Linked DNA regions of Mus musculus. The protein of the gene in region 3 binds, or shares a complex with, the protein of the main gene of each other region. Links are inferred from orthologs where the notes say so. Each region holds a gene or a part of one and is shown on either strand. Other genes may lie near its edges. The genes, in order: Smarcd2, Dpf1, Smarcc2, Dpf3, Pbrm1 and Actl6b.

What was found.
Region 1: Smarcc2 (region 3) and Smarcd2 share a complex: the UniProt entries of both Homo sapiens proteins name them as parts of the BAF complex. The link is inferred for Mus musculus from reciprocal best matches to the Homo sapiens genes SMARCC2 and SMARCD2.
Region 2: Smarcc2 (region 3) and Dpf1 share a complex: the UniProt entries of both Homo sapiens proteins name them as parts of the neuron-specific chromatin remodeling complex. The link is inferred for Mus musculus from reciprocal best matches to the Homo sapiens genes SMARCC2 and DPF1.
Region 4: Smarcc2 (region 3) and Dpf3 share a complex: the UniProt entries of both Homo sapiens proteins name them as parts of the BAF complex. The link is inferred for Mus musculus from reciprocal best matches to the Homo sapiens genes SMARCC2 and DPF3.
Region 5: Smarcc2 (region 3) and Pbrm1 share a complex: the UniProt entries of both Homo sapiens proteins name them as parts of the SWI/SNF-B (PBAF) chromatin remodeling complex. The link is inferred for Mus musculus from reciprocal best matches to the Homo sapiens genes SMARCC2 and PBRM1.
Region 6: Smarcc2 (region 3) and Actl6b share a complex: the UniProt entries of both Homo sapiens proteins name them as parts of the BAF complex. The link is inferred for Mus musculus from reciprocal best matches to the Homo sapiens genes SMARCC2 and ACTL6B.

The regions. Positions count from the first base shown.
Region 1 is NC_000077.6:106,270,173-106,274,324, forward strand, and holds the start of Smarcd2 (SWI/SNF-related matrix-associated actin-dependent regulator of chromatin subfamily D member 2), read right to left. Parts: upstream 2,801-4,152; 5' UTR 2,537-2,800; coding exon 2,321-2,536; coding exon of another isoform or gene 2,261-2,320; intron 1-2,260. Other genes in the region: Tcam1 (testicular cell adhesion molecule 1), read left to right, coding at 3,462-3,479. UniProt on the Homo sapiens protein: Involved in transcriptional activation and repression of select genes by chromatin remodeling (alteration of DNA-nucleosome topology).
Region 2 is NC_000073.6:29,311,001-29,314,500, forward strand, and holds part of Dpf1 (zinc finger protein neuro-d4), read left to right. Parts: intron 1-264; coding exon 265-392; intron 393-606; coding exon 607-696; intron 697-1,847; coding exon 1,848-1,926; intron 1,927-2,081; coding exon 2,082-2,213; intron 2,214-3,138; coding exon 3,139-3,189; intron 3,190-3,282; coding exon 3,283-3,402; intron 3,403-3,500. UniProt on the Homo sapiens protein: May have an important role in developing neurons by participating in regulation of cell survival, possibly as a neurospecific transcription factor. Belongs to the neuron-specific chromatin remodeling complex (nBAF complex).
Region 3 is NC_000076.6:128,472,815-128,476,314, reverse strand, and holds part of Smarcc2 (SWI/SNF complex subunit SMARCC2), read right to left. Parts: intron 2,115-3,500; coding exon 2,055-2,114; intron 1,944-2,054; coding exon 1,906-1,943; intron 1,633-1,905; coding exon 1,502-1,632; intron 1,323-1,501; coding exon 1,251-1,322; intron 1-1,250. UniProt on the Homo sapiens protein: Involved in transcriptional activation and repression of select genes by chromatin remodeling (alteration of DNA-nucleosome topology).
Region 4 is NC_000078.6:83,484,937-83,489,141, reverse strand, and holds the start of Dpf3 (zinc finger protein DPF3), read left to right. Parts: upstream 1-1,405; 5' UTR 1,406-1,433; coding exon 1,434-1,465; intron 1,466-4,205. UniProt on the Homo sapiens protein: Belongs to the neuron-specific chromatin remodeling complex (nBAF complex).
Region 5 is NC_000080.6:31,022,138-31,025,637, reverse strand, and holds part of Pbrm1 (protein polybromo-1), read right to left. Parts: intron 2,919-3,500; 5' UTR 2,779-2,918; intron 2,572-2,778; exon of another isoform or gene 2,507-2,571; coding exon of another isoform or gene 2,459-2,506; intron 141-2,458; coding exon of another isoform or gene 126-140; coding exon 1-125. UniProt on the Homo sapiens protein: Involved in transcriptional activation and repression of select genes by chromatin remodeling (alteration of DNA-nucleosome topology). Required for the stability of the SWI/SNF chromatin remodeling complex SWI/SNF-B (PBAF).
Region 6 is NC_000071.6:137,563,546-137,566,812, forward strand, and holds part of Actl6b (actin-like protein 6B), read left to right. Parts: intron 1-945; coding exon 946-1,040; intron 1,041-1,107; coding exon 1,108-1,214; intron 1,215-2,145; coding exon 2,146-2,235; intron 2,236-2,431; coding exon 2,432-2,493; intron 2,494-2,984; coding exon 2,985-3,099; intron 3,100-3,251; coding exon 3,252-3,267. UniProt on the Homo sapiens protein: Involved in transcriptional activation and repression of select genes by chromatin remodeling (alteration of DNA-nucleosome topology).

The DNA.
Region 1 (4,152 bases), on a different chromosome or scaffold from region 3:
AAGTCTGCTCACCCCAAGAACTCTAACCAGGAGCCCCTCTGGCCTCAGATCCCAAGACTTGCTGGAAGTTGGACATGGGAAGAAGCAAGCGGGATCTCCTTCAAACTCAACCAATGCTAACTGGGTTCTCCTTCCCTCCTTTCCCCTGCCTTTCCCTGGAGGAGGAAGAGGAAGAAGAAGAGGAGGAGGAGGAGGAGGAAGAGGAGGAGGAGGAGGAGGGGGAGAGGAAACATAGTTGGTATGGGATGCCCAGATTCAAGGCTATCTCCTTTCTCACAACTAGCAGCCGCAGCCATTTGGCTGGCCAGCCTGGCCTCAGCATAGACCCAAGGCTACTCTACAAAATATGCAGGAATCCATCTTCCAGTCTTCAACAGGGGCTTTCCCAATGGCATGTTCTCTATCAGCTGCTTTCCAAGGAAATGGGTCTACATAGTGAGTTACAGGACAGCCAGGACTATATAGAGAGACTTGGAAAACCAACCAACCAAACAGACATCCCCAGTGCCTGTAGGAAGCTTCCAGACCAGCTCTAAACAAGCAGAGCCAAGGGCTGACGCAGAGACTCATCAGTGATATACTAGGCCCATGAATCTCCAAAGAAAGCCACATGGGAAAGATAAACCCCGCTAGTATCCTTGGAACCACGTCTATCTCTGTTTATACCCAAACTCGTCATTTTCTTTTTAGATAGGAGTTGAAATGAAGGGGGTCACTTATCCCCACTCCGACCCCCAGTTAGGTATCTCCTGGGTATCTGATTCCTGGGCTGGAGAGATGGCTCAGTGATTAAGAGCGCCGACTGCTCTTCCAAAGGTCCCGAGTTCAAATCCCAGCAACCACATGGTGGCTCACAACCATCTGTAACGAAATCCGATGCCCTCTTCTGGTGTGTCTGAAGACAGCCACAGTGTGCTTACATATAATAAATAAATGAATCTTTAAAAAAAAAAAAAGAAATCTGATTCCTGGGTGGAATATGCATACATCATGAAGATCTATTTCTGAGACTTCTACCTAGAGACACCAGCAGGGGACAGAGCAAGCTACAGTGCACACCTCTCACCTCTCTGGCACATAGGTTGAGAGACATATGGCCTTGTCAGGAACCTGAGGGATAAGGAAAGAGAGGTTGGGCGTGATAGTGTGTGACTGTAATGCCAGACACTTGAGAGAAAAGAGTTCAAGGTGGGCTTTGGCTACACAGCCAGCCTGGACTATATGAGACCCTGTATCAAAAAGCAAGTAACAAAAGTGACAAGGATGTGGGAGAAGGATGGGCACAATCCCCAGGAAAGGAGGTGCAGCTCCCTGATACAGCAATCGTCTGCCACGTGCAAAGCCCTGCCTGGATTCCATGCTCAGCACCAAAATGCAAAAGCAAAACAAAATTCCCAAACATTCTGGAGCCACTTGAACCAGAGCTCTGGGGAATGAGGAGCGCCACATGCAGAATCAGGCTGAGTTCCCAATGCACTGACCACGGGTCCTGTCTCTGCTTGTCAATGGCCTTTGATGCTGCAACCTGAGACAGCTCTCTGCCAAGACAGAAGGGTCAGGGCAGTACCCTGTGCAGCCCAAGACCAGCAGGACTCCACAAAGCCTCCCTGCTCCTCCAAACTTTACTGGACACTGGCATCAAGAAGGAAAGCCCCGTACAGAGGATATCTTGAATGGTCTGTTAATGGGATCGGGCCTTCTTCAGACCTGGACACAGCTATTTCTAATCTATCCTGGAGTTATCTGGGCCCAATCTCTTTAGTCTCCCATTTCGTAGGAAGCCTGGCTTCCTTCCTCCTCAACTTGAGCAGCTGGGAGCCATCTCAGACATACTAACGCTCTGCCAGTTCCCAACTAGGAAGAAAAAAAAAAAAAAAAAGAAAGAAAGAAAGCCAAGGCAGAGATGCAGTGGGACCGAGGCCAAAGAAAGAGTAACCCTGTTTTCTCACTAACGACCCTCTTCCAAATTTTCCTCACCACATCCCGGGTCACTCCCTCACCTCCACTCCGGGACCTGTCTTACACTTTCAACCTGATTGCCCACAATTCTCTAGATCTCACGAAGCCTCCATCTCTAAGTTACTCGGAGCCAAGAAGCCCCGGGACTCCTCTAACTGCTCAAGCCCTCCACCGCAGAGGGCTTTCACCCTTTCCCCAACACTGCCTCCAACCCCGAGCCACTAACCAAGGGACTCTGGCCTGCCCGCCACCAGCCCTCGACAGTTCCTCCTGCAGTGTCCCCTGGGCCGCCTGTCCTCACCTGAGGCCCCAGGGAGACCGACACAGCGCCCTCGCGGCGCCGCTCGCCTGCCCTCCTCACCTGGTACTGCGCCGCGGGGCCAGCGGGGCCCATGGGGCGGAAGGCGGCGGCCCCCGGTACCCCCATGCCTCCAGAAGGCCCCGGGCCCCTGAGCGCCGGGCTGGGCAGCATTCCGGGTCCCGCAGGCGGAGGCGGCGCACCAAGGGCCGCGGCAACGGCGCCGCCGCCGGGGCTCAGCGGAGGCAGCGGGAACCCGCCCGCGCCACGGCCGGACATCACTCTGTCCCGTCCCGCGGTGCAGCGATCCGGCCTCCGGTCTCCGTGTTGAGTCCGCTCCGCGAGCTACGTTCCGCGATCCGGGACTTCCCGATTTTACTACCGGGTTCCGGGATCTTCTACTCCAAGTTCGCAAGTTCTTTGCAGCCCGGCTTTAGGATCCCGCGGCCCCTCTGACTCCGCTCCTGCCAGGGATACTCCAGATCCGGGATGTGCCGCGAGCCCGCAGGCCTCTCCCGGCCTCCGGAGGTTTGATCGCCGGAGTCCAGTTACCCAGAGGCGGTTACGAACTCCCAGCCCCGCCCAACCTAGACCCTGCAGGCCCCGCCCCTGCCCGGCAACCCAATCGAGAATGCCTCTTTAAATCCCGCCCTCGCGAGACCCGCCTCAAACCAGCACCTCCCATAACTGACGGCCTTAGAGCCCCGCCCTTGGGGGAGGCGGCCTTTTCCCGGAGGAGCGGGAGCGGAAGCTGCACGCGGAAGCGCGGAGGAGAAAGGCGTGGGGTCAGAGTTCGAAGGTCGCGTAGGGCCGTCCGAACTGTTAGGTGTTTGCTGTTTGCTCCGTAGTGCTGCTGCCTCGGCGAGATCCCCGATATGGCCCATCCAAAACAGTTCCGTCAATTCTGCGTCTTCAAGCCTTAAAAATAAGCGATCCGCGGCGGGAAAGCCGCCAACCACTTTTTAAGAGCCCATCTCGGGGCCGGTGGCATAAGGCACCCCACACCCACCCACCCATCTACCCCCAGAAGCCTGTATTGGTTGCTCCGCGCTTCCAAGGACATGGGCGGCCCCAGACGTGACCCAGCTGAGTGAAAGCTTGGCTTGGCCCAACTCCGAGTACTTAACTGCACTAACTTGCCCGTGCCTTTCTTTAAGGAAGCCTGGTAATTCGCAGAAAATGTTTTTAGGTGAAGGGATTTTGCATGCTGAGAGAACTCCAGGTACTGAAATAAGTTTTATCCAGTTTGTATAGGACTTAGTTTTGAAAAGTTGAGAATCAGCCGGGCGTGGTGGCAAACGCCTTTAATCCCAGCACTTGGGAGGCGGAGGCAGGTGGATTTCTGAGTTCAAGGCCAGCCTGGTCTACAAAGTGAGTTTTAGGACAGTCAGGACTACACAGAGAAACCCCGTCTCGAAAAACCAAAAAAGAAAAGAAAAGTTGAGAACCTTTTCAGAAACCACTGGCTTCGGCTATGTTATAGACCTACCCTCTGTCAATGTGGTATCTCCTACCCACGGTATAGAATAGTGCTACTTAACTAGGCACTGAAAATCCTCAGAATCAGGTTGGGGGTGTAACTCAGGTTATAGCGTGCACAAAGCCCTGGGCTTGAACCCCAGACTGCATCAACTACATGGTGGTGCATCCTCAAAATCCCAGCACACAGGAGGAGGCAGGTGGGCCAGAAGTTCAGGATGGTTCTCAGCTGCATCACCAGTTGATTCTACAGGAGACCCTATATCAGAAGAAAGCCGAGCTTTTTGTTAAAATGTGGTTTATGGTTCAATGAAATGGGGGCAGGGTACAAGATTCTGTATTTCTTTTTTGGTTTTTCAAGATAGGATTTCTTTGTGCAGCCCTGGATGTCCTGGAACTAGGTCTGTAGACCAGGC
Region 2 (3,500 bases), on a different chromosome or scaffold from region 3:
CCTAAGGGTTGCCAGTGTATTGGAGTCTGGTTCTGTCTTCTTTATCTAGTAGAGCTGAGGGTGTGGCTGTGCCTTCCCAGTGTATGGATATTCTTTCCAGGGCTTGAGTCGAATCCTTCTGTCCATTGTTGGCTGTGTGTGGGACAGTGTGGGAGAGCCTGTCCCTGTCGAAAGGACCATGCCCCCACCCCCACCCCCTGCAACCCGGGCACTTTGGCCACAGCCTCTTCAACTGATACCACTTTCCCTGTGGCCCGTCCCCAGATTGTGAGGCACCTCTGAAGAAGGAGGGTGGCCTCCCGGAAGGGCCAGTCCTCGAGGCTCTGCTGTGTGCTGAGACTGGAGAGAAGAAAGTGGAGCTGAAGGAGGAGGAGACCATCATGGACTGTCAGGTAAGGAGCCCCTCCCCGGCTGCAGATGCTCTCACCACTATGCCTTCCTGCTCTGAGATGCCCGGCTCCTCAGGGCCTCTGGGTACCCTATGGCCCCGATCTCCCAGAACACCTCTGCTTGTAGAAGGGTCCCTGACCTGCTCCCCCACCCTACCTGCAGCACATCAGTGCCCCCACCTTCTTGACCCCCCAATCTCCCTTCTACTGGGCCCAGAAACAGCAGTTGCTGGAGTTTCCGCATGATCTCGAGGTAGAAGACTTGGAGGAAGACATTCCCAGGAGGAAGAACAGGGCAAGAGGAAAGGTACCTTCCAGCAGCTTCCCTCCCGCCTCCTCCCCAGAGCCACGTAAAGGAGTAGAGGGCTTTGCACCCATTTTTATGGGTGAGGAAATGGAAACTCAGTGGATTATAAACTTTTTCGAAAATGGAGCTTGTGGATCAGAACTGTCTTGCAGAGCTGGGTGTGGTAGCCCACACTTGTAATCCCAGCACCTGGGAGGCTGAGGCAGGAGAATTGCTACAAGTTTGAGACAAGTGAATTCCAGGCTATTCTGAACTAAATAAAGAGATCGTGTGCAAAAAGAGATTAAAAAAAAAAAATCCTAAACCAAACCAGCTACCCAGACAACAACATCAGCAACACACACAAACACACACACGCACCATGCACACACATACAAACACACTCACATAAACACACACACTTACAAATACACACACATACAAACATGTACACACACATACAAATACATGTGTACAAATATACACTCCACATGTACACATAAACACACATATACATGCACACACACACACACACACACACACACACACACTCACAACCTCTAATAAGAACAATAAAAAGGTGTTGGAACACAGATTTACTCCCAGCACTGGAGAGGCAGAGGCAAGAGGATCTCTGAGTTCAAGGCCAGCCTGATCTATAGAGTGAGTTCGCAGGTAGCTAGGACTGTGTGGAGAGACCCTGTCTCAAAACAACAACAAGAAGAATTATCTTCATAGGTGTACCGAGAGAAATTCAAAGGCTCACCACTAGAAACTGTGCCCAGTTTTAGTGGGGAAGATTTCATTATCGTTGTGTGGTTCTGGCACCCAGAATCTCACACTCACATGACACCTGCTCTGTCACTGAGCCACGCCCCCAGTGCTGAAAAGAAAAACTTTAATTTTTTTCTTCAGTTTGACTTTCAAGTCTAAACGAAGAAGCCCACTAAGGCATGGTAGCACATATCCCATAATTCAGAAGCAGGAGGGCCACTGCATGTTTAAGGCCAGCCTGATCTACAGAGTGAATTCCAGGTCAGGCAGGGCTACATAATGAGACCCTGTCTCAAGCAACAACAGCAACAACGACGACAAACTCAAAAACCCCAAGAATGATGAGCCTTTCTTTCCCTGGCTTTCCAGCTCCTTACTCCTAACCCTCCTCCCTACAGGCATATGGCATTGGAGGTCTCCGCAAACGCCAGGACACCGCATCCCTGGAGGACCGAGACAAGCCGTACGTCTGTGATAGTGAGTTCTGCAGAGGGGAAAGAGAGATGGGGGTTGGGGGGGGGGCAGTGACCTCTCCCTTATGGCCCTCAGCAGAGCAGGTGGTGTGAACCTGGAGGCCAGGGTGGAGGAGGTGGCCCCGGAGTCTGACAATCACCCACTCACTTCCCCTCCAGTCTGTGGGAAGAGATATAAGAACCGGCCAGGACTCAGCTACCATTACACCCACACCCACCTGGCTGAGGAGGAGGGGGAGGAGCACACTGAACGCCACGCCCTGCCTTTCCACCGGAAAAACAACCATAAACGTGAGTTGGAGGGTCAAGGCTGGTGGGTGAGGTGCCAGGGGTGGGGCGGGAGCAATGGAGCCTGGAAATGTCTGCGGACGGGGAGGTGGGGGCACATTTAGACATTTCTGGAAAATCTTCAGCTTAACGGTTCCCTCCTCCACCAACCATAGGGATGCTGGCTCTGGGGTTGTCATGACAACCAACTCTCTCTCTCTCTCTCTCTCTCTCTCTCTCTCTCTCTCTCTCTCTCTCTCCCTCTCCCTCCCCCTCCCTCATTCTCTCTCTCTCTCTCTCTCTCTCTCTCTCTCTCTCTCTCTCTCTCCCTCATTCCCTGCCCGGGCATAATATTTCTGGGTCTGATTTATTGTTTCAATTAGAGCTCTGAGGGGGGTGGTAGATGACTTCCCCACCCCCACCCCAGACCTCCCTCGTCTCCTTCTCTACTATGTTAGGATCCAGGGCAAGGTCGGTGGCCCCCAGGGTCCTTGACACCCACCCATGGCTGTTCCATGCCATGATGACAGCTGAGCCACGGAGGAAGTGGACTATCTCTCACCTGTCCCTCAAAGAGAGCCTCTCCAAAAACCTCAGGCCTGGCCCAGAGCCCTCTGTGCTGTAAAAATGCCCTGATTAGGCTTTGCAGAACTGTCTGCTAATCGTTGGCCTAGGCAAACTTACTTAGGGGTGCCTAAGGGGGTGCCCCCTACATGATGGGGGCAGCCATGGGCTCTTGCTAAGGTTATACCTATCTCTCAGACTTTTACCCAAATAGAACGTATGGTTACCCCAAGAGTTAGGGTTCTGGTGAGAATGGCTTGCCCCTCCCCCAGCTTCCTTGCTACTTCCCAGTGCCTGGGCCAAGGGTCCCGCCCCTGGGGCTGAGGCTGGGGACAGATGGGACCTTGCCTATGGTAAGAGCCCCTTTCTGTCCCCCCACCCCCAGAGTTTTACAAAGAATTGGCCTGGGTCCCCGAGGCACAGAGGAAACACACAGGTAGGGGCACCTCCCTCCTCCCCGACTTCTGCAGCAGTCTTTGACTGGCACGCCTCACCTGTCCTGTGCCCACCGCTGCCTGCTGTCTTTCAGCCAAGAAAGCACCAGATGGCACTGTCATCCCCAATGGCTACTGTGACTTTTGCCTGGGGGGCTCCAAGAAGACTGGGTGTCCCGAGGACCTCATCTCCTGTGCGGACTGTGGGCGATCAGGTGACACTCACCACATATTTTCTGGAAGATGGCGGGGAGAGGGCATCTCAGAATCTGGATTTAGGGAATGGGAGGCAAGGGGAGCGAGGGCTGTACCC
Region 3 (3,500 bases):
CCAAGTATTGGCAAAGAGTCAGCGAGACGAATAAGAAGTCTGCTGAGGGGCTGGAGAGATGGCTCAGTGGTTAAGAGCACCGACTGCTCTTCTGAAGGTCCTGAGTTCAAATTCCAGCAACCACATGGTGGCTCACAACCATCCGTAATGAGATGAGACACACCCTCTTCTGGTGTGTCTGAAGACAGCTACAGTGTACTTAGATATAATAATAAATTAATCTTAAAAAAAAAAAAAGAAAAAGAAGTCTGCTGAGGGCTCAAGGTGGGAGGATACTGGAAGAGTGTGTCTTAACCAACACATGAAGAATGCAGTTATCAGAGTCAATAAACACCGACTTAGAAGCCCTAAATCTGTAGCTTATTATTCTTTTTTAAGATCAGGTCTCACAATATAGCCCTGGCTGGCCTCCATCTGCAATGATGAGACTTAGAGATCTGCCCGCCTCTGCCTTCCAGCATGCACAAAACGGTACAAAGACTCTCATGCATGTCAGGCAAGTGTTCTACTACGGAGGGAGCTATGCCTTCCAGCCCTAATCCTGGACATATGTGCTACTCTTTCATAATGCACGCTCCCATCTCATAATCCTCAGAGCCGGACCTCTTAGTTCCTTCTTCTCTTTGACAAAGTCTAGCTAGGAAGCCCAGGGCGGCCACGAATTTGAGTCTTACAGCAGCCTCCCAAGTGCTAGGACTATCCCCATGTGCAACCAGGCTTGGTTTTTATCTTATCTTGTTTTTTTGTTTTGGTTTGGTTTGCTTTTTGGTGTTCCAAGACAGAATTTCTCTTTGCAGCCCTGGGTCTCCTGGAACTACTAGCTCTGTAGACCAGACTGGCCTTGAACTCAAGAGCTCTGCCTGCCTTTGCCTCCCGAGTGCTGGGATTCAAGGTGTACACCATCACCTTATTTTTGTTTTTCAATCTAATCTCATCATTTACATTTTAATTAAAGTTGTTTCATACACTGGGGGTATGTGAATTTCAGGTCACATAGCAATTATGGAATGAAATTCTCTGCATGGTTTTTAACTGGAAGCAATGGGAACGGCGGTGCAGGTACTTGTATGCTCTACTCTACCATCCTCAGACAACCTCCGAAGAACATGTTTAAAGGGTTAGGCTGTGGCTGTCTAGTGGTGTCTATCATGTCTTTGTAAGTCTAACAGAGAGCTTGGTTGAAAGTTGCTAAGTCTGGAAGGGTGAGTGCAGAAAGGACCCCAAAAGAAAATCATAAGCGGAAATCTTACATCTCTGGAGTCTTAGACTTGTTCTTGCCGTTGAAGAACTCAGGAAGAGCCCTCCGTTCAATGGCATGGACGCTGCAAGATAAATCACAACGGGTTTAGAAGGCCCAGGGAAGGAGTAGGAGCCCAAGGGCGGAAGGCTTGAAAGGTGGGGTTGGCAAGGGGCTCTAAGCTGTAGAGGGGCAACAAGAGAGATAACCCATTGATTATGGGTTAATCACGGGGGAGGAAGGAGGAAAGAAGCAGGGCAGTACCTGTTGTAGTCAAACCAGGCGGCGTAGCTGGGGATGATGATGTGGTGGGTCTGCTCGGTCACATTGTCCTCATGCAGGTCCGGGTTCTTCGTCTGCTCGCCTTTGTTGCCCGTGCTGTTCTCATCCTCGTCCTATGAATATGGAGGCTGCTGGACACTCAGCATTCCCCTCCCTGCCTAGCAGCCCTCAGCTTCTCCTACACCCAGGAGCACCAACAGGGGAGAAGGATGAGGATGAGCACTGTGGGCCCTGGGACGCTAGGGGGCTGGGGTCCGAGCAGCAGGCACAATTCAGCTATGGCGGGAAAAGCCCGGGCAAAAGGAACACTGTGATCCCTGTCCCAGAGAGGTGGAGCCTCTCTAAGCTAATCACAGAGAGACAGAGCCTGCCTAAACTGGCTGCACCTTGCCGGTGGTCTCCATGCTTTCATCGTCCTGTTCATCTGCAAGGGAAAGAAGACAGGCTGAGCCTCTACAGGAGCAGAGGGCGACGGGAAGGTGGGCTGAGCTCCCCCATGCCTCAGGCACTGCCTGCTTGGGGCTCCCTGGCTTACCCAGGTCAGTCATGGTGCCGCCTTTGACTGGGGCTGACTCAGAGTCCTTTTTAGTGTTGACTGCAAAGAGAAAAAGCATTAGACATGTTGGCCAAATCAAGCTCTCACGTCTCAGCTGCTAACAGTTTTACATATGCTGCTTCTTCAGAACCCTTTGAAACTCGTTTTCTATTCTACTGCCTTGCCCAGCATCTATGTGCGTGCACTCCTATGACTCTCCGGCCTCAGTATCCTGAGGGCTACTCCTGTATGACTGCTCTTTGTCTCCCTGCTTGTCTCCCTATACAATCTTTTAATGGACTGAGTTTGAGCTAGATCATGCTAGGTAAGTAGCTAGATATCATCCCTTGATATACTACTTGCAACTGAACCTAAGGCCTAACTTACGAATATGTCAGTGTTCTACCAGAGTTACAGTCCCAGCACCAAGGTTTTTCTGGTTTTTTTGAGGGGGGCGGGGCGGGGCGGGGCGGGGCGGGGCGAAGGAGCAGGGTCTCATGTATTCCAGGCCTCTAACTTGCAAAGAACATCCCTAATTCTCTGCATCTGCTCCTGAGTGCTGAGGTGACAGGTGTGCGCCACCACCAAGCTCAGTTCCCCAGCACTTTTTTCTTTTTCTTTCCTTAAACTTTTTACTTTGGCTTTGCCTTTTTCAAACAGCCTCAGGCTGGAGAGAAGGCTGAGAGGTTAAGAGCACCGATTGCTCTTCCAGAGATCCTGAGTTCAATTCCCAGCAACCACATGGTGGCTCACAACCATCTGTAATTGTAGTCCCACAGAATCCAATGCCCTCTCCTGCTACGCAATTTGTACTGGCAGACAAACACCCCTATACATGAACTATATTCATAACTACATCTTTACTTTTTTATTTAGTATTTTTTAAAAGAAAGAGACACAGACTCCATCAGCTCGAGCTGGTTTTGAATTCATTATGTAGCTCAGGCTGGCCTGCACTCCTGAACCATCCCTCTGCCTGCTGAGTGCTAGGACTAGAGACATGACCCACACTTGGCTTTCCTTCCTTTTTACTCTGAGACTGTCCCCTTCAGTTATGCAGGTTGGCCTCAGGGGTCATTCTGCAGGCCAGGCTGATTCTGTACTTCTTACATCCTCCTGCCTCAGCCAGGCAGGCCACTGAGATTATTACCTATGTTATGCCACCAGGCTGAGTTAAATGATGTGCTCTTAACTAGTAACACTGTTGCTTTGTTTTTTCCCAGACAGAGTCTCACTCTGTAGCTCTGGCTGTCTTGGAACTCACTATGTAGGCCAGGCTGGCCTTGAACTCACAGAGATTCACCTGCATCTGCTTCCTGGGTGCTGAGATTAAAGGTGTTTACCACCGTTTCCAGTCAGATCTTAATTAATTTTTGAAGACAGGGTCTCTGTATGAAACCTGGCTGTCCTGGAACTTGTGACCAGGCTAGCCTCCAGCTTACAGAG
Region 4 (4,205 bases), on a different chromosome or scaffold from region 3:
CCTACTAGGCAAACAAAGAGTTAAATATTTCCAGTCTGCACGCACAGACTCACTCAGCTTTGCTGGGCTTATCTGTAACTCTAATAGTGAATGGAGCTGGAATCTGAAAGTTCTGGACTGCTTTGTAATTGTATTTTACTTTATTCATCGAGAGTCGTAAAAGGCGAGAGCAGGTGGAATTGTGAACTGCAATTCAGCATCTCTCGGTTTCCTTTTCACTTCCCAGCCCCCAGCTATTTGACCTGATTAAACAGCCAAGGGGGCCATAGCCCGGCTTCTATAAGCTAACGATGCCTGTGCCCTCTAAGTGATTTCATGAGTTTTCGCCCACTCCGAGTCTCCCTGTGCTCCGTGGAAGTCTGAGTTCGCAGAAGTCTCTCAGTTTCTTCTGGGGTTTATCAGATTCTGAGCAGCCGCATACTGGGGAAGCCAGGAGTCACGTCTGAACATTCACTTGCAAATTCTTTTCACCTCCTATCTTAGTCCAGAAAGGTGACGCCTGAATTCTCAGAGCCGTTCCCAGAGGGGACTCAGGCAACACCTACCTCAGGCTCTAACAATTTTTGCATAGTTACTGACTTCCCTAGCTGCGTTTCCTAAAGTTGCCTCAAAATTTCCCCAACCTTCTGCCTAAAAAGCGCCAGGTCTCACTTCGCTCCCAAGCTGGCCATGTCAGATCAGTGTGAATCGTTGACAGTGGAGAACGGTGGTCGTAGGGGACCGCGCGGAGTGACCACCCGTGAATTACGTAACAAAAGCCGTGGCTGTCCGCAAGCCTGACACTGAGACATTCCAGGAGGAAGGGAGTTGCTGTCCTGGACTCTCCAGTTCTCAGAAACCGCCCGGGGAAGGTGGCTGAGATCAAGAAAACACTTCGGGAACAAGAATATTGAACAGCCGCGGAACCCAGAACATTATTAGCAAACAGTGGAACACGAGTAGTAATTTCTTGGAGGAAACTGCAGCCTTCCAACTTTTTGCACTGCAACACGGTGGTGTACAAGGAGCTCGGGGGTTAAAAACCGTGATTTACAAAGCCCAGAGCTAATGAATGGGGTTAAGTGGTTTTGTTGGCACTATGTAAATATTCTTGTCCAGGAGCGCAAACTCTGCAGTTATTTAGCAAAGTAGGGACTCCAACTAAGCGAGAATGCTCTCCCATGTTGTCTCCACGAGTTCCAATCTAAAAGGGCGCTACTAACACGGTACTGCCCCTTTAAGACCTGCTCGCTCTCGGGCTCTACAAAAGGGAGTGACCTCTGGGCTTTGACAGCTCCCCTAATAACTACCACCACGCAGGCCCCGCCCACTTGGCGACCAGCCGCGCCGATTGGCCGGTAGGCCGGTATCCCGTGCTCTGATTGGCCTGCCGCTTCCCCTGAGCGAACCTTTAGAACTCTGAGACAGACAATATTCTGTTACATTGTAGCAAAATGGCGACTGTCATTCACAACCCCCTGAAAGCGTAAGTAAGACTAAAAAATGTACATATTCCGCGTGGTTTCAATATGAAAAAAAGGCGCCTTGTGGAGCGCAGCCGGCGCCCGGCTCTCGCAGACACCTCCCGCTGCGCCCGGGCTCCTCTTTTCTTCCTGCTCTTACTTCTTCATCTTTTTTTTTCCTCCCAGCGCGCAGAAATGTCAGGAGATGCAATTAACAAAAAGAAAATTGTTACATTTGTGTTCTGCTTAATTGGCTGACCGGGACCGGGAGGGAACACAGAGCGGCGGCGCCGGCTCAGGAGCTGCGGGGGTCGTGAGCAGCCCGGGTCTTCACGGTTCTCGGAGTCCCCTGCCTCTCCCGGCGCCGCGCGGAGCTGGCTGAGGCTGGCCAGAGCGCGGGGTTGGCTGAGCCTGGCCGGAGCGCGGGGCAGAGACCGCGTCGTGCGCTCGGCTGAGCCCTGCACTCCAAGCCCGAACCTTCCCGGCCCCGCTGCTCGTCCACCCAGGCGGGCAGACGGACCGCAGCGGCTGCGGAGTTTTGCAGGGCGTTCGCTCTGCCTTCCGAGCTCTCGCAGGGAGTTTGTGTAAACCTTCCGGAGTTGGGAGGACAGCGCGCGGAGCGGCGGGTCCCGGGAGTCCTGGGGCCCAGGTGCTTGCCCCGGGCTTTTCCACTCCGGCAGCCGGGGATCAGGCAGGCGCTCCGGGCGGTCGCCGGTGTGTCTGTGTATTTGTAGGCTAACTGGCTCTAGTAAATTAACGATCCGGGTTAACTTGGGGTTGATATGGAGGCAGGGAAACTGCAGGTCTTATAAATGGTGTGCTTGCCTGCTCTGGGTGAAAAGCCGAGGCGGTGGAGGCGGCGGTGGAGGGCTCTGGCGACAGCGAGGGGCAGGTGCCTCCCGGAGACTTTGAGCGGACACAGGGGGGCGGGCTGCGCAAGGACTCGCGGGGGCCGGTTCCCGATCGGAGCTGCCTGCCCGCCGGTCTTCCTTCCTTCCTTCCTTCCTTCCTTCCTTCCTTCCTTCCTTCCTTCTTCCAGTCGGTGGACTGAATATGAAGCCGCAAGTCCGCGGGTGATCGCGGAGCCGGGGGTGGCCTCGGAAAACTAGTGTGGCTCTCAAGGGGCGCTATTGGCAGGCATGTTGGCAGAGGGTGGATCCTTGGGAATCGCGGCGCGGCGTGGGCACCCAGTGGGTGCCCGGTGTACTAGGACTTCCCCGCCCTGATGAAAGCCAGTGGGAGTCGGAGGGTGAGCGTGGGTGTTTAGTGCCAATTCTTCCCGGTGTGTGTCAGTGGTCGATCTTGGCTCTTTTAGCTGCGCGCTACAGCGTCCCTGGCTATGGGAGTCGAAAACACCGTTCGCTTTGGGGAGCAGCAGGGCGGCGGCGAGAGAGTGTGCGTGGGATTCCTAGTGCCAAGAAACCCGTAGGGAGAACCCGCTGCGTTTGCACCAGCCAACAACCAGGAATAGGGCAGGGATGTCCCAGATCTTGGAGTTTCCATGAGATATTGCTGTAAAGACGGAGGCTGAGCTTGATGCGAGTTCCTGGCTCCCGTTCTCGTTCGGAAGCTCAGCTACTTTGCACTCGCGACAGCGTCTCACCGAAGAGAGAAATTGTTTTATGGCAGAAGAAATGGGCGTAACTTCCCCGCTCCTCGCCGACTCCCGCCGCCACACCGCTGGGGCTGGGAGTTTCTCCAGAACCCACACACAGCTGATTTGCAATTTCCTCATTTCCAGCCGAAATCACGTAGCCGAGCTGATGCTGCTTGGTAAACTCAAGTCGGAGAGATCTATTTGCTATGTGTACAGGGTTCTTCATTGGCAAAGCGGCATCCTTGATGCCCGGGAGCGGGCTTACGCTCGGGCGCGCGCAGGAGCTCCACACTCCTGGGTCCCCCAGATCTTTCCACTTTTTTTTTTTTTTTCCACAGAAGAGTGCATGTATAAGAAATTGTGGGGGAGAAGGAACAGAGAAGCTAGAAGGTGGCCAATCAGTTAATAGAACTAGTTCAGATTTACACTTGTATCCCTTAATAATTGGAAATACTTGCCGTGGGATGCATTTGTAACTCCGTCTTGGCTCACGCACGCGGACGCTCACACAACACCCCTGTCTGCCTTTCCTCAGAGGAAGTCGAATGGTCACTTATAATTAGCCGCCCCCTTTTGCATCCAGTCCTCTTCCCCTGAGGGCTAAGGGTGTAAATAATAACCCCAATCGGTCAAGCTATTTGCACCCTGGACATTTTAAAAACTCCGCACGCAGGAGCACACACATCGTTACCGGGAGACTGAGGCCATCTGCTTTATTATTATTATTATAAAAACAACTTGTTTAATAAAACATCTTATACATGCCATTTGTTTCTAGAAGTTGCTGATCAGGAAACAAAACACACGTGAATAAATTATGCATGGGCCAAATTAGAACAAAGCATAGCAACCCAGCAAGCTGAAGGGATGGATGGGGGGGGGGCAGGGAGGAGGAGGAGTGAGGAGAATGGCTTGGAGAGCTTATGTGTTTATCCTTGTGTGCCCCTCCTGACAATGAACCGGAGCTCCAAACTGCATTAGCATTTTCTCCGGGTGCAAGCAGTCTTTCTCGTCTTAAAAAGGCAACATCACGGACGCCCCCTACAGAAGAAACTGGTCACACAAAGATTTCCTCTTGGGCCTGGGGATAAGCAGCAGTAGTTACGGTGTTGGGAAGAAGCCAGCTCGGGTTTCTTTCATGCCACCCTGTGTAGGGCTATGCCTTA
Region 5 (3,500 bases), on a different chromosome or scaffold from region 3:
GGAAGATTGGACAGTCTTCTCCTTTTCCTGCTTGGGCCTGGTGTAGGCACAGAATGGTGCCCGTCATCAAAGTCTCCACTGACACTGCTGGAAGGAGAGGTGGCTCTTCTTCTCTTGGAACCCATGGAATCCAACTTCTTCTGTAAGAAATAATTAGCCAAGTTCTTATATTTAATCTTTAACAATGTCAACAAACTCTTAGCAGGGCACATATCACCAAACTTCTCATTCATTTAAGATAGCTGATAGAGTTTTTTTTTTTTCCCCCCAGAGGAATTGAACTAGCTTTAAGTTCTTTTGTTAATTTAAGTGCTAGACCTCAATGATTTTTTAGCCTTTTACTTATCAGAATGCTGTACCATCAAACTCTGATAGGATAAATTTGGCAGAAGTATACACATTTGTATGTCAATAATTCTAAATTAGCCATTTCTTGCTCCAGATTTATCTTGGAATGTGGCTTCCTAATTCATGTATAGTCATTTTTTAAAAAAAGTATTATTTTTTATGTGTACAGGTGTTTTGCCTGTGTAAGTATCTGTGCACCACATGTGTGCCTGATGCTAGAGAAGATCAGAAGAATGTATCAGATCTCCTGCAACTGGAGATACAAATGGTTGTAGGCTGCCAAGTAGGTGCTGGGCAATAGCCCCAGGTTCTCTGGAAGAGCAGCCAGCACTTAAACACTGAGCCATCCTTCTAGTCCTCTAGTCTTCAATAGTGCACTGGAAGCACTGGTCCCTAAGACCCTGAGGCCCAGGTACACATGGGGACTCTAAGGTCATTACCAAGGGTTAGTAACTTCAGCTGCTTTCCTGAATGTAACTAATACCTCAGTGGGCCACAGTGTAGAAAATGAAACTAAGAAGCAGTATCTGAAGCAAAGGGGATGGAGCAGTAAACTTCTTAGCACTGGAGAAGTACCCTAAAATTAACACCTTGAAAATGAATTATCCTCTTAAAGCAGAATTCATAAAAATACCTCTGTGAAACAATGTAAGTTTTGTTTTATCTGGGAAGAAATAGCAACTTGTACACTGAACTCTTCTATTAAGTCTTTCCTTTCAGTAAGAGATGTCCACTATACTCACAGATTTTGGAAAATAGCTTTAAGTCTTATTAGAATTAGACGATCTGGAAGAACATGCTATACACATGGGTTCTTGGGTAACGAATGTGTAGACATTTAGAAACACAAACACTTGTTGTTAGCTTGACTGATATTTTTGTTTGTCTGCTGACTTCAGCATTTTTATTGTTATTTGCAGTACTAGGGGCTGAATGTAGTACCTTTCACATGATAGGAAAGTGCTCCAACACTGAGCCCTATCATTAATACAAAAGGAACTCTGTGTGTGTGCCTGTCTGTCGCTGTGTGTGCAGGACATAAGTTGATGTTGGATGTCTCCATTTAGCACTTTCCCCTAACCCTGGAGAATATCTAGTCAGTCAGTGCCTGAGACCTACTTATCTGTTCCTCCAGTGAGGGGCTACAGACCCTACCACCCACACATGGCTTTTATGTGGGTGCTGGGGATCCAAAGTCAGAGCCTCATTTTTGCACAAGAACTTTAACCACTGAGATACCTTCCTAATCCTATAAGACACTATTCTTTGATAGGTGCAGTGGTGCAAGCCTTTAACCCCAGCACTTGACAAGAAAGGCAGAGGCAGGGGGAATCTCTGTGTGCTCAAGGCCAGAATGGTGTACATACTGACATCTAGGTCAGCCAGGGCTACATACTACCTCAAATAAAAAAATAAAAATAAACTACTTTTTAACTTTACAATATACGCATTTGGCTATAAGAAATGCAACCACAGAAATAAATTACTACAGTTAAAGGGTATAAACCCAAGGAAGTCCTACAATGCTTATATAGTTTAACAGTAGTATCAAATAGTGCATTGTAATTTCAAAGGACTTTCCTAAAGCTAAAAGTAACAATAGACTTTATTAGTTTCACTAAATAAACAACAGTAGACCAGTGGCTGCCAGTATTACAGAGAGAAAACTGGGGATCTCCAGGAAATAGAAAGCAAGAACAAAACAAACAAACAAAAAAATCCGTTGAGCAACTAAGAAACAAGAGGAGTCTTCTGTCTCTTGCTTTGAACTATAAAGTCCACACACTGTTTAAAACAGAACCCACAGTGATCATGTTCCTTCCTCTAGGCTTTGGTTTATTACCAAGTATATTAGTTTGAAATTGACTAAAAGTGGTTAACAGCTTCTAAAACCTTAAGTCAAGAACACTTAGGTACTGTTGTTGTTATAAAAGACTGCTAACTGGCCACAATGCCACAATTTAATGAAGTTAAGGACTAATCCTTGGAAACACTCTGATAAACACAGGAGGGACTCAGATGGGAAGAAATACTATAAAATTCAGAATGCTGAAGGGAAAAGGTAAAGAACGACAGAAACAGGAAAGGGTGAAGATGATCAGTAATTTACCAGCTTTACCAGAGCACAACCAGCGCCTCGAAAAGCCAATCTCCTCATTATGTCTGCAGGCCAACTGAAGCCCGTGAGAGAAGGGAGGGCTTATTCAGTTAGTCTATTCAGAACTGAAAGAGAAGAACAAGGCAGAGAAAGGGGAAATAGGGGGATAAATGAGTTACAAACAGACAGAAAACATACATTCAAATAGAATTGCTAAAGTGAGAGATACAGGCACATCAGTCAGCTCTCAGGTGCACCTGACATTTCTTTCCTTTAACAACCCAATGCTTCCACATGCTTAGAAATGTCTCACTGAGTTCACCTTTACTCACATGAAATGACTGTCAACTCCAGGAATGAAGCATGCCTGCCCAAGTGCCCCCTAGTCAATAAGAGCAGAGTTCAATCACAGAGCTGGAATGGAGAGTGCACACATGTGGGAGGCTCACATGTGACACCAAGTGTTGGCAAGCTGGAACAAACCAAGAACGGCTCATGAGAGCAAACTCTACAAAATTCTTCCTCCCCTCCACCCAAGCATCAGAGAAAAACATTTCTTTCCAAAAGCTCTATCTGCACTGGAAAGACACAGCATTTAAGTTTTAACAGGGCTTTAAAAAGTCTTCAATTATCTTGGCAATTCAAAATAACTGCTTTTTATAACGCACTGGAAAACAAATGACAAAAAAATGTAAATTATTAGTTTTGAATATATTGTAATTTTAGATGACACAACAACCCAGACCCCTTAATCTTTAATACACTTTCAAAAGATAAAAGATACAAGAGAGGGATTTTAAAAAATATTTTCTTATCCGAAGTATATACCTTTTAACTTGTAATGTGAAATAATCGATCCACACTTAGGAGTCAGACCTTCCACTCTAGTTATCTGTATGATGCTAGCCAAACTACAACTCAGATCAGTTTCTTTATCTTCAAATGCAAACAAGGGCTAGCAATAGCTAAGTTGGAAGAGTGGTTGCCTAGCAGATTGGAAGGCCCCAGGTTCAATCCCAGCACCACGTGGAACTGGGCATGGTGGTACACACAT
Region 6 (3,267 bases), on a different chromosome or scaffold from region 3:
ATCCCAATTCAGCGAGTCCACAGGACACAGGACCACATGACCCTGGAACCCCTGCACTCAAAGGGATTAAGGAGATGAAATACACATTCAAGGCCTGGGCTTAAATTGAACATACACACACACACACACACACACACATACACACACACACACACACACACACATATATATATACCCACATATATATACATATATATGTGCATGTGTGTATGTGTATGTATGTATGTATGTATGTATGTATGTATATATACACACATACCTATATATATATACATACATACATATACATACATATATACATATAATGAATTATATATAATAAATATTATAGATAGCAAATATTATATCTAATGAGCATATATAATGAACATTACATATATTAAAAGTTGGGGGACTGGAGCAAAAGCCCAGCAGTTAAGAGTGCTTGCTGCTCTTGTATAGGATTGGGTTTGATTCCCAGCACCCACCCAGGACAGCTCAGCAATGAAATCAACGACCACACAAAGACGAGGACCAGAGTGTGGATCCGTAGGCATCCACATACCTGCCCAGTGGGCATGACCACCTACTTGCAAATGCAGACTCAGGAGGCCAGCAAGACCAACTGTATTAGAGAGCTCTGCATTTAATTGAGAGCACTTTCTTGAATGAATAGGTTGAAAGAGTGATCAGGAATGAGTCTTGATATCAACCTTGGGCCTCTGCATACATGCACACACACACACACACACTCATACACAAACCCTCACACATACACAAACACACACACACAGACAAGCCCACACATATGCAAAAAGGAAAAAAAAAAAACAAACCTCCAAAGGTTCTATTTGCAGACTGGGATGACTCTTACCCTGAAAGAACTGAGAAGGACTAAGGCCTGACCCAGGTCCCAGCTCCCTCACTGGCTACTGCTGATTCTTTGACTGACCCATCCCACAACAGCTTTGCAAATGGACGCTCCACAGGCCTGGTGCTGGACAGTGGGGCCACCCACACTACAGCCATCCCAGTCCATGATGGCTATGTCCTACAGCAAGGTAGGGCCTTATCAGGGGTCTGGGGTGCTTTGGGGAGCCCTGGTTCTGAGACTGCTTCTTCTTCCAGGCATCGTCAAGTCCCCCCTGGCAGGGGACTTCATCTCCATGCAGTGCCGGGAGCTCTTCCAGGAAATGGCTATTGATATCATTCCTCCTTACATGATTGCAGCCAAGGTAGGCCCTGTGCTGTGCCCAGATATGCCATCCATAGTTCTGGCATTTGCTTTATATCCATCAGTCCCCAAGCCCAGGAGATAATGCAGCAAATCTCCCAAAGGCTCAGGGATCCAGGTCCTCACTATCCAGACATGGAAACAGGCTTCATGTCATGACTGGACCAGATGTGTGAGGACCAGTTATGGAGAGGCACGTTTGTAATCCTAGCACTTGAGAGGCGGGGGCAGGAGGGTCGGGAGTTCAAGGTCAGCCTTGGGAACAGTGAGCTGGAGGCCAGCCTGAGCTACACAAGCCATTCTGTCTCAAAAGAAAAAGTAAACAACAAAAACCCCCAAGGACTAGGGGTGTGTTTCAGTTAACAAGCTCTTGGCATGCAAGGAACCTTGAGTTGGATCCCCAGCACCATATAAACCTTGGTTGTGTGAAGGCCTGGATGACATAAATCCCATCTCAAACCAAACCAAACCAAACCAAAACCAAAAGACGAACATGAAGAGCCATGAAACCCAGAGTATCATATGAAAGCTTCCCAGATATGAGAGAGAGAGAGAGAGAAAGAGAGAGAGCGCTAAATTGAACTAGCAATCCTCCAGCTTTTACTTCGCTTTGCTGGAGAACACCACACCAGGTTTCATCGGACGGGGATGGAACCCAGGGCTTCCTGAATGCTAAGCAAGTACTCTACCCACTTCTGGCTCAGTTCCTTCTGATCACATTTGCAGTGTAGGTTTCATGTATGGGACAGCCTGTCATTGTCTTCACTTCCCTGTCAGGGAAGGCTGACAAGCCACTCTATCTCCTGGGAGACAGAGCAGAATCTCAGGGCTGGTCAGCTGCAGAGCTGTCTGAGCTCCAGGGAGGCGAGCGTGTGCCAATGGGCAGGGCAAGCACCAACTGGGAAGGACTCTCAAAGGCTGTGTCCTCACAGGAGCCTGTACGGGAGGGAGCCCCCCCAAACTGGAAGAAGAAGGAGAAGCTACCCCAAGTCTCCAAGTCCTGGCATAACTACATGTGTAACGTGAGGCTGTAGCTGAAAACAGTTTCCCTACTCTCTTCCCACCCCTGTCAGTCCCTGGCACCTTGCTATAACCAGGGGAGGGGAGGGGATGGCTGTGGATGGGTTGGGGTTGGGGTTGGGGTTGGGGTTGGGGGTGGGGGTGGGGCTCTCGATAGAGACAGAGGGCAGCCAGACCTCACCCCTCCCTGCTTCTCAGGAGGTGATCCAAGACTTCCAGGCCTCCGTACTGCAGGTGTCTGATTCCCCTTACGATGAACAGTGAGTTGGGCTGAGCACCGCATGGTGGTAAGGAGGGTAGGATTGATTGACGCTGGGAATGCTATGGCTCCTGTAATGTCAATACTCAGGAAGGCTGAGGCAGAAAGATCGAGAGAGTCTCAGGTCAGTGTGGCCTACATAGCAGAACCCTCTCTCAAAAAGTGTGTGTGTGTGTGTGTGTGTGTGTGTGTGTGTGTGTGTGTGTGTAAAGGCACTGGGACTATAGCTCGGTTTGCCTGTATGTATAAAGTTCAGTCTCACTTAGGGGCCACGGTTGTACAAGCCTGAAAGCCAGTGCTTAGGAGTTGGAGACAAGGAGTCCAGGAGTTCAAGGCCAGCTTCTGCTACTTATTGAGTTGGAGGCATGATTGGGCTACATGAGAACCCCATTTCAAAAAACAAAGATGGGCACAGAACTGGGGTTCATGGGAACCCCTAGAGCACCCCACCTGGCACCACATCACACAGAGTCTTGCTCCTTTCTTGGGCAGGGTAGCTGCACAAATGCCCACTGTGCATTATGAAATGCCCAATGGCTACAACACAGACTACGGCGCTGAGCGACTTCGAATCCCTGAGGGCCTGTTTGATCCCTCTAATGTCAAGGTTTGGCTGGATGCTGAGGACTAGTTGGGGTTGGGGTTAGGGTTGCCTAAAGTCTTGGATCCAGAGGTGTAGTGAAGGAGTCTGGAAAAGATGATAGGAGTCTAGGGGAGAGGGAGGGAGAGGCCCCAAGTCCATATCACCTCTGTCCACAGGGCCTGTCCGGGAATA